Linked DNA regions of Cricetulus griseus. The protein of the gene in region 1 purifies or fractionates together with the protein of each later gene. This does not show direct contact. Links are inferred from orthologs where the notes say so. Each region holds a gene or a part of one and is shown in the gene's direction. Other genes may lie near its edges.

The links.
Region 2: the proteins of Mmp2 (region 1) and collagen alpha-1(V) chain purify together in Homo sapiens (co-immunoprecipitation; 3 studies listed by BioGRID and IntAct, counting the BioPlex papers as one, with this or other methods). This does not show direct contact. The link is inferred for Cricetulus griseus from reciprocal best matches to the Homo sapiens genes MMP2 and COL5A1.

What each region holds. Positions count from the first base shown.
Region 1 is NC_048596.1:168,546,790-168,550,607, forward strand, and holds part of Mmp2 (72 kDa type IV collagenase), read left to right. Parts: intron 1-2,242; coding exon 2,243-2,416; intron 2,417-2,596; coding exon 2,597-2,770; intron 2,771-3,818.
Region 2 is NC_048599.1:139,697,582-139,701,399, forward strand, and holds part of collagen alpha-1(V) chain, read left to right. Parts: coding exon 1-32; intron 33-1,328; coding exon 1,329-1,382; intron 1,383-2,225; coding exon 2,226-2,279; intron 2,280-2,363; coding exon 2,364-2,471; intron 2,472-3,224; coding exon 3,225-3,278; intron 3,279-3,380; coding exon 3,381-3,488; intron 3,489-3,818. UniProt on the Homo sapiens protein: Type V collagen is a member of group I collagen (fibrillar forming collagen). It is a minor connective tissue component of nearly ubiquitous distribution. Type V collagen binds to DNA, heparan sulfate, thrombospondin, heparin, and insulin.

The sequences.
Region 1 (3,818 bases):
ACCTTAGATTGTTTCTAGGGCCACTATGCACTCCAAACAAGACCCAGGGCTCAAGAACAGGAGGACAGGAAAACAGGAGGATAAGAGAGTTGAGGCACAGAGATGGATGGAAGGCTTAGCTGTGGGAGGAGAACAAGGCTCAGTCCAAGCCTTGATTGAAGTAGGGTCTGTAATCTGAGCGTATTAGCCCTCTCTCCCACACTGGTCCTACTGTACTGAGAGTCAGTGTAAGAGGTCACAGCTATGACATCTAATTCTGATTTCTGTCTTTGTGTCATGGCAAAGACACCTAGCTCTACTCAGTGTGTGTGTGTGTGTGTGTGTGTGTGTGTGTGTGTGTGTGTGTGTGCGTGCGCGCGCGCGCTCGCGAGTTCACCCCGTGCTCATTCAAGCTCAAAAACGTTTTTTCTCCATCTACCATCACTTGAGGTAAAAGTGCGGAAAGGGGAACTTTGAAAACATCCTGGATATGCTTTCTAATCATAAATCGTTTTAACAGTATGCACGACTTCATATTTGGTCAGGCCATCTCACTTGATGGTTCCAGAGATCAGAAGCCCAGTAAATGTTGGAGAAATGGGAGAAAATACAGCCATACTTCTAAGTATTAGCTTATTCCCCAGCCCATAAAATCTCTCTGGGGTATGGACTAATTAAGGGCAGTTTGTTTGGGTTGAGGAAGGACTGTAGTTGTATATAATTGTGTATGTATGTTTGCAACTCTCCCTGTCCCTATTGCAAAACAACACTGGCACCAATCATCCAGACAGAAGGGAAGAAACAAAGAGTTTCTAGTTGTCTTCCTGTTTACATTTCTCCTTTTCCTTCTTTCTTTGAGACATCCAACCCATGGCCTCACACATGCTAGACACATTCTCCTCCACCACTGATCTCTACCCACAGCCTGTTTATGCTTTTACCACTGAAGCTAAACTATGTACTAAAACTCAAGCAATTGACTATTAGCAAACCAGGGATTTTAAAAGAAAAGTCTGTGTCTTGCATTTCCCAGTAGGACACGAGGAAAGACAGAAACCTCTGATTCAGCCCTTCTGATAGAACAGGCTTCATGGATAGATACAGAAACAGCCTCCACCTTCACGAGCTTGGAAAGGTTCCCTCTGTGTCAGACACTGGCCATTTCTTTGGTCCTTAGCCAGGTGCAAGTACGCACAGTGCACACGTGTTTGGGTTTGGAACAGCAAATTCTGATTACTCAGGCCCTCCTGATGGCTGACTCAGTGTCTGCTCTCCAACCTTCTCTTTGGGAGGCGTGTGGGTCCCAGAGGAGATGGGCTTCTGGGTGGCAGAAACACAGCTGGTGGGATCCGAGTGGTCACTTAGCTGTTCCCCACTCTAAATCATCCAGAGTCTCGACTCAGTTTCACCTCTTCCCTAGGTCTCACACCTCCTGCTTCATTAGGAAAGGTTTCTTGTTTAGGGTTGAACTGAAGATAGAGACCCCCACCCCCAAGTTCTGCATTGGGATGCCAGGGGTTGGGCTCCATTCAGCCCGTGGTAGAGTTAACAGGCCTGGTGATGTCACCTCTGGCACTGCTGTGCACAGATGGTCCTTGTTACGTACTTGTGGTTTTGCTAGTTGGCAATTCCAGATCCACACCATTTTGTAACTCTGGAGTGGATAGAGGGACAGAAAGCTTGGAAGAGCCCAAGACAGACAGGCTGACCTTGATTCTACCGCTCTCTATTCTCCAGTCATGGCCCTATCCTGCAGTTCTCAGAACGGGAGGCTTAGACAACAGCTGTCCCTGCCTCCTTCTCCTCTCCATTCTGCAGGGGCCACAGCAGCAGTAAAACTGTCCAGAAAGGACTGGAGTTTTCTCGGAGGAGCAGATCTTCACTATAATGAGGGGAAAGTGGCCTTTTAGATTTATGTTATCATTTTAAATTATGTGTAGGTGTGTGGGTCTTTATGTGAGTATGTACACATGAGTGCAGGTACCCTCCGAGGTCAGAGGCATCAAATTCCCCAGAGTTGTAGTTACAAATGGTTGTGAACTGTCTGACCTGGGTGCTGGAAACCAAACTTGAATTCTCTGGAAGAGCAGCTGTTGCTTTTAACTGCAGAGCCATCTCTCTATTCCCTAGAGATTGTTTGTAATTAATATTTTTAACACAGCAACCATTTGGTTTGCATGAGCCAGCAAGTGGTTGACTAGCCAGCTCTGCCCAGGCAGACATCTCTCTCAGTGGCATCTTCTTCCTCTCTTTCTTTCCCCAGCCTTATTTACCATGGGAGGCAATGCAGATGGACAGCCCTGCAAGTTCCCGTTCCGTTTCCAGGGCACTTCCTACAACAGCTGTACCACCGAGGGCCGCACAGACGGCTACCGCTGGTGTGGCACCACTGAGGACTATGACCGAGATAAGAAATATGGATTCTGCCCAGAGACCGGTGGGTATCACTGCCTCTCTCTGACCCTCAGAGGCAAGCATTTTGCCATTCAATACCCACTTGTCCACACACAGCATCCCTTTCCAGTGAGTGTATGTTAATGTCAATATCTTGTCTTTGTTTCCTGGTAGTGGCCTTAGATCCTCTGCTGCCCCTTGACCTGTGTTCCTTACCCAACAGCTATGTCCACTGTGGGAGGAAATTCAGAAGGTGCTCCATGTGTCTTCCCCTTCACTTTCCTGGGCAACAAATATGAGAGCTGCACCAGTGCCGGTCGCAATGATGGGAAAATATGGTGTGCGACCACAGCTACCTATGATGATGACCGGAAGTGGGGCTTCTGTCCTGACCAAGGTATGAAGCCCTGGCTTTTGGTAGAGACACCAGACACTCCTCCACACCTGAGCTAGACTATTCTGAGGGTCAGACTATTTTCAGATCAGACATTGTCCCTAGACAAGTGTCTTAGGGTTTTTATTGCTGTGAAGAGACACCATGCCCACGGCAACTCTTACAAAGAAACCATCTGGCATGGCTTGCTTACACTTTCAGAGGTTCAGTCTATTATCATCATGAAGGGGAGCACAGCAGCGTGCAGGCAGATGTCGTGCTGCAGCCGAGAGTGCTACATCTTGCAGGCAACAGGAAGTTGACCTACAGTCACACTGAAGTCCACTAACAGTCACACTGAGGAAAGCTTGAGCAAAAGAGACCTCAAAGCCTGCCCCCACAGTGACATACTTCCTCCATCAAGACCTCACCTAATAGTGCTACTCCCTTTGGGGCCCATTGTCTTTCAAACCACTACAACAAGATACCCCATTGTGCTCTCAGACCTCCCCATCTGAGCAGAGACTCTGCTCAGCCACAGTGAAGACAGGTTTCTTGCTTAGGACCAGCCAATTCAGGCAAACATTTACACAGTTTCCAAAGTGAGACCCTATTACTAGCCACTGATCCTTGGTGGGTATCTGCCATGCTCTTTCCATTCTTGCCTTCCACTCCAGCCACCTTTCCAGGCAGGCAACAGAAAACAGTCAGTAGTGACCTTACTGTTGTCAGAACTGAGCAGGGTGCTTTGGGCCTATCTTTCAGCGCCCAGAGGCCCAGGGCTTCAGGTTTCAGGTACCCCAAAGACATTCAAATAATCAGGACGGGTCTAGAGCCTGACAGAATGAGCCTCTGTTCTAGTTTCGTTTTTGTTGTTGTAAATAAACACTTAGGGAGGAAATGGGAACAAACAGCCTTACACTCTCAGGTTACAATGTATCGAAGGAAGTCAGGACAGGAACTTAAGGAAAGAGCCTGGGCAGGAACCATGCAGGAACACCACTTGCCTGTCTCATAGTCTGGCTCACAGGCTCATGCTTTGCTAGCTTTCTTACATAGCTCAGGACACCAG
Region 2 (3,818 bases), on another chromosome or scaffold:
CCGTCGGTCCTCCTGGAGAAGATGGAGATAAGGTATGGAGAAGTGTGAGTGTGTGGGTAGGCAGGCAGTGAGTACAAGGGCAGGGTTTAAACAGCATCGGATATGATCTAGAGGGCTCAGCTGGCAGCGCAGTGCAGTGTCCCTTCAGACCTGGTGTGAGGGGATGATTTTGAAGTAGCACACAAATAAATGGCAACAAATAAGACATATGTGGGGAGCCTGGAAAGCGCTTGACTCCTTGGCAGACTTGTCTGAGACGTGTGCAGGTCATAGCCAGAGCTGAAGAAATTGCTCTCTGCTCCCTTCTGAACCTTTCAGACTGGGACTGTGTGGGGCTGGATTTAATGAGGTTTTACTCTGTGTCTATTTTTAAGTGTCTTCCCTTGAATGATCGAAGCTCTGTTTTTATTGCTATTTCTGATGCCATTACCGAGGAGCCTGGATTTTATACTTCATTAAGGAGAGACTGTGTGGCTTAGCTCTTCAGCCCTGTTCTCCATTTGTCATAGCTCTCTGGTGATATTTCTGACTTTGTCACCTCTGCACAGAGGACGTCTTAGTCTTCTGTCTCCATGTGGGAGGCGGTCCAATAGAAACACCAGGATGGTAGACTGCCACATCACCGTGTCTACTAACACCTTTGCAATAACCACAAAGGAAACAGAGTAGTGGAGGAGGTGGTTCATTAGTAAAGTGCTTGCCTTGCAAGCATTAGGATATGAGTTTGACTTCCCAAACACAAGTTTAAAAAAGCCAGGTGTGGCGGTGTGTCTGTACTCTCAGAACCCAGGAGGTGGAGACAGGAAGATACCTGGGGCTCTGTGGCTGGCCAGCCTAGTCAATGGAGGCAAGTTCAAGGCCACTAGAAACCTGCCTCAAAAAGGAACAGATAACAAAATAGGGGACTGAAGAGACAGCTCAGTGATTAAGGCACTGGCTGCTATTGTAGAGGACCAGGGTTCAGTTCCCAGCATCCATATGGCAGCTCACACCTGCCTGTAACTCCAGTACCAAGGTACCCAATACCCACTCTGGCCTCTTCAGAGTGTCTCATGCAGTGCACAGATATACAAGCCATGTGCACACACATGAATGTGTACACACACACACACACACACACACACACACACACACACACACCATCTATATATACACAGACATCAAAATCAGAAAGGAAATCAAATTCACATAAGAAAATGCTTTCTGTTGGCAAATCTTGGTACCATCTGGAGAGCAACTGTTGTCAGTCTCCAAGAACGATTGCCCAAAGGACTAAGAAGGGTACATCCAGCCACCGGACTAACAACGTCCTTCTTATCCATCCCCAGGGAGAGATCGGGGAGCCAGGGCAGAAAGGAAGCAAGGGGGACAAAGGCGAGCAGGTAAGAGTGTAAGTGTGCTGGAGTGGCTGCTGAGAGCAAAATGACCCTCTGTTCACACTCCGTGATTCCAGAGAACTCCTGGGTCACACCAGTTACATTTCTTTCCCAAGAGTATCCAGTGTGCATGTGTGTTCAAGTGTGTGAGAGAATCTCTTGGTGTAAGAACATCTGTCTGCCTGGGGACCCATCAGTGAGGACCACAGAGCTCTGCAGAGGCAAAGCATCCATTTGTCCCTTAGTCTTTCATACATCCAGGGACACGGAGTTGAGGGTGCTACGGCCCTGTCACCCACACCAGCCCCCCCCCAGTGCCATGAGTCCCCTCCAAAGTGGGGACTAGTCTGAGCCTCAGACTGGTGTCAGTGTCATTACTCCTGAGGTGATATCAGAGGCTTCAGTGCAGGCCTCTGGCTCTCTGTTCCTCCTGGCTTTTCTCTCTCTCTCCATTCCTGCACCCACAGTGATAGGCACTTGAGGACAGCATACAAGAAAGGGTCATGGTGGAGTCCTCCCTTTGAGGCCTCTGATCCTTGTTGTCTGAGGGGGTCTCTTCTGTCACAACAGGGTGTATGGTGGTTGCTGAGCGGACACAGAGTAACCTTTCCTGTTTCTGTTACCCATAGTAATGTGATCTTGGTTGAATTGAGAGTCTTACCTACTTCTCAGAGCCTAAAACCTGGCTTGTGCCATGATGTTCATAGTTAGTGTTCCTCTGATGACTGGCCCATTTGACTCTGATAAGTCACATCTTGCACAACCCAGCCACTTCTGGTGACAGAATTTACCTACTCCCAGACTCATCTGCAATGTCAAAATAATTATGTCTCTGTTTGACCCCTACAGGGTCCTCCTGGACCTACGGGTCCTCAAGGCCCCATTGGACAGCCAGGTCCCTCGGTGAGTATCTATGTTGAATGATGTAGCAAGGCCTACCTCTCAAGCCGTTGTCCATCCTCACCCATGCTCACTTCCTTCCTCCAGGGAGCAGATGGTGAGCCAGGTCCTCGTGGACAGCAAGGCCTGTTCGGGCAGAAAGGAGATGAAGGCTCAAGAGGTTTCCCAGGACCACCGGGGCCAGTGGGATTACAGGTAACCATGGAGCTTCCTAGGAGATCCCCCCCCTCAATGTGTCAGTGTCTTGCTGGGCCCATTCTTGCTGTCATTGTAAGCATGAGGAAACTGAGCCTCAGTAGTAGGGATTGGAAGATCTGCCAGTTTTCCAGTACACACATACACTTGGGTGATGCTCATACATAGTCAAAGCTGCTTCTGTGTTTACCATAGAACCCTGGGAAATGGTAACCTGTATTAAAGGGATACAAACCACCTAGAAGTGACAGCCATCTACCCAGTCCACCTCATTCAATGCCCTTACCCACACGATTCAACTGGATGTTAGGGAAGTACCAAGCTCGCTGTGTGCTGTAAAGCATACACCAGCCTTCAGTTTTATGTTATGGGGCATGTTAAATGTCATCAAATATTCTTTGAACACAAGACTTTATTTTGGAAAACACATTTTTTAGTTACTAGGTGGTATTTGGCATATGGAGGGGACTTGATTTATCCGGAAGCGTCCCTGCTGCCGCCTCATTAGGTTTATTGTTTTATGGGAAGCTGCCATAAGCGCTGGTGCTCATAAATCTTGGCATTCTCCTCTGATTATGTCCTCGGCTGTTTGAGCTCTGGAAGCAGGAAACCTCTTTCCGTGGAGGGAGACTCACAGAAACATATTTCAGGGCCTTCGGGAAACATCGTGGGAGAGGCAATCATGGCAGTGACAATCATGAGAGCCATGTGTGTCTCTCACAGAGTAGTATCTCACCAGTTTCCTGTCCACAGGGTTTGCCAGGACCTCCAGGAGAGAAGGGTGAGACAGGAGATGTGGGCCAGATGGTAAGTAGCTGGGCCATTGAGACCCAGTATGGTGCTCCCGGTTTACATTTTGGGGAAGGATGTTTACATCTTATGTTGTTCAATGGCCTCTCTTCTTTCCAGGGACCTCCTGGTCCCCCAGGCCCCCGAGGACCCTCTGGAGCTCCAGGTGCTGATGGGCCACAGGGTCCTCCCGGAGGAATTGGCAACCCTGGTGCAGTGGGAGAAAAGGTAATGTTCATCTACTTATCCCAGTGTCTTATCCCATATGGGATAAGGACTTATCCCATAGCTACATGAGAAGTAGTGTGTTTGTGTGTACATGGAGTCCTGTGTGCCTGTGTGCGTATGCACTCGTGTGCCTGCGAATGTGCACACACAAGCATGTATGCCTATGTGTTTGAGACACTCCCATTATACTCATCATGGAACCTAAAAGTAGATTCATGACCCCAAGTTTGATACTCTGACAGTGTTCATTTGTAACAGCTGTTTGCCAAATCCAAAGCAATAACATGCTCGTTCCGCCAAGCCCCGTTCCCTCTCTCCCCTCTAACTCAG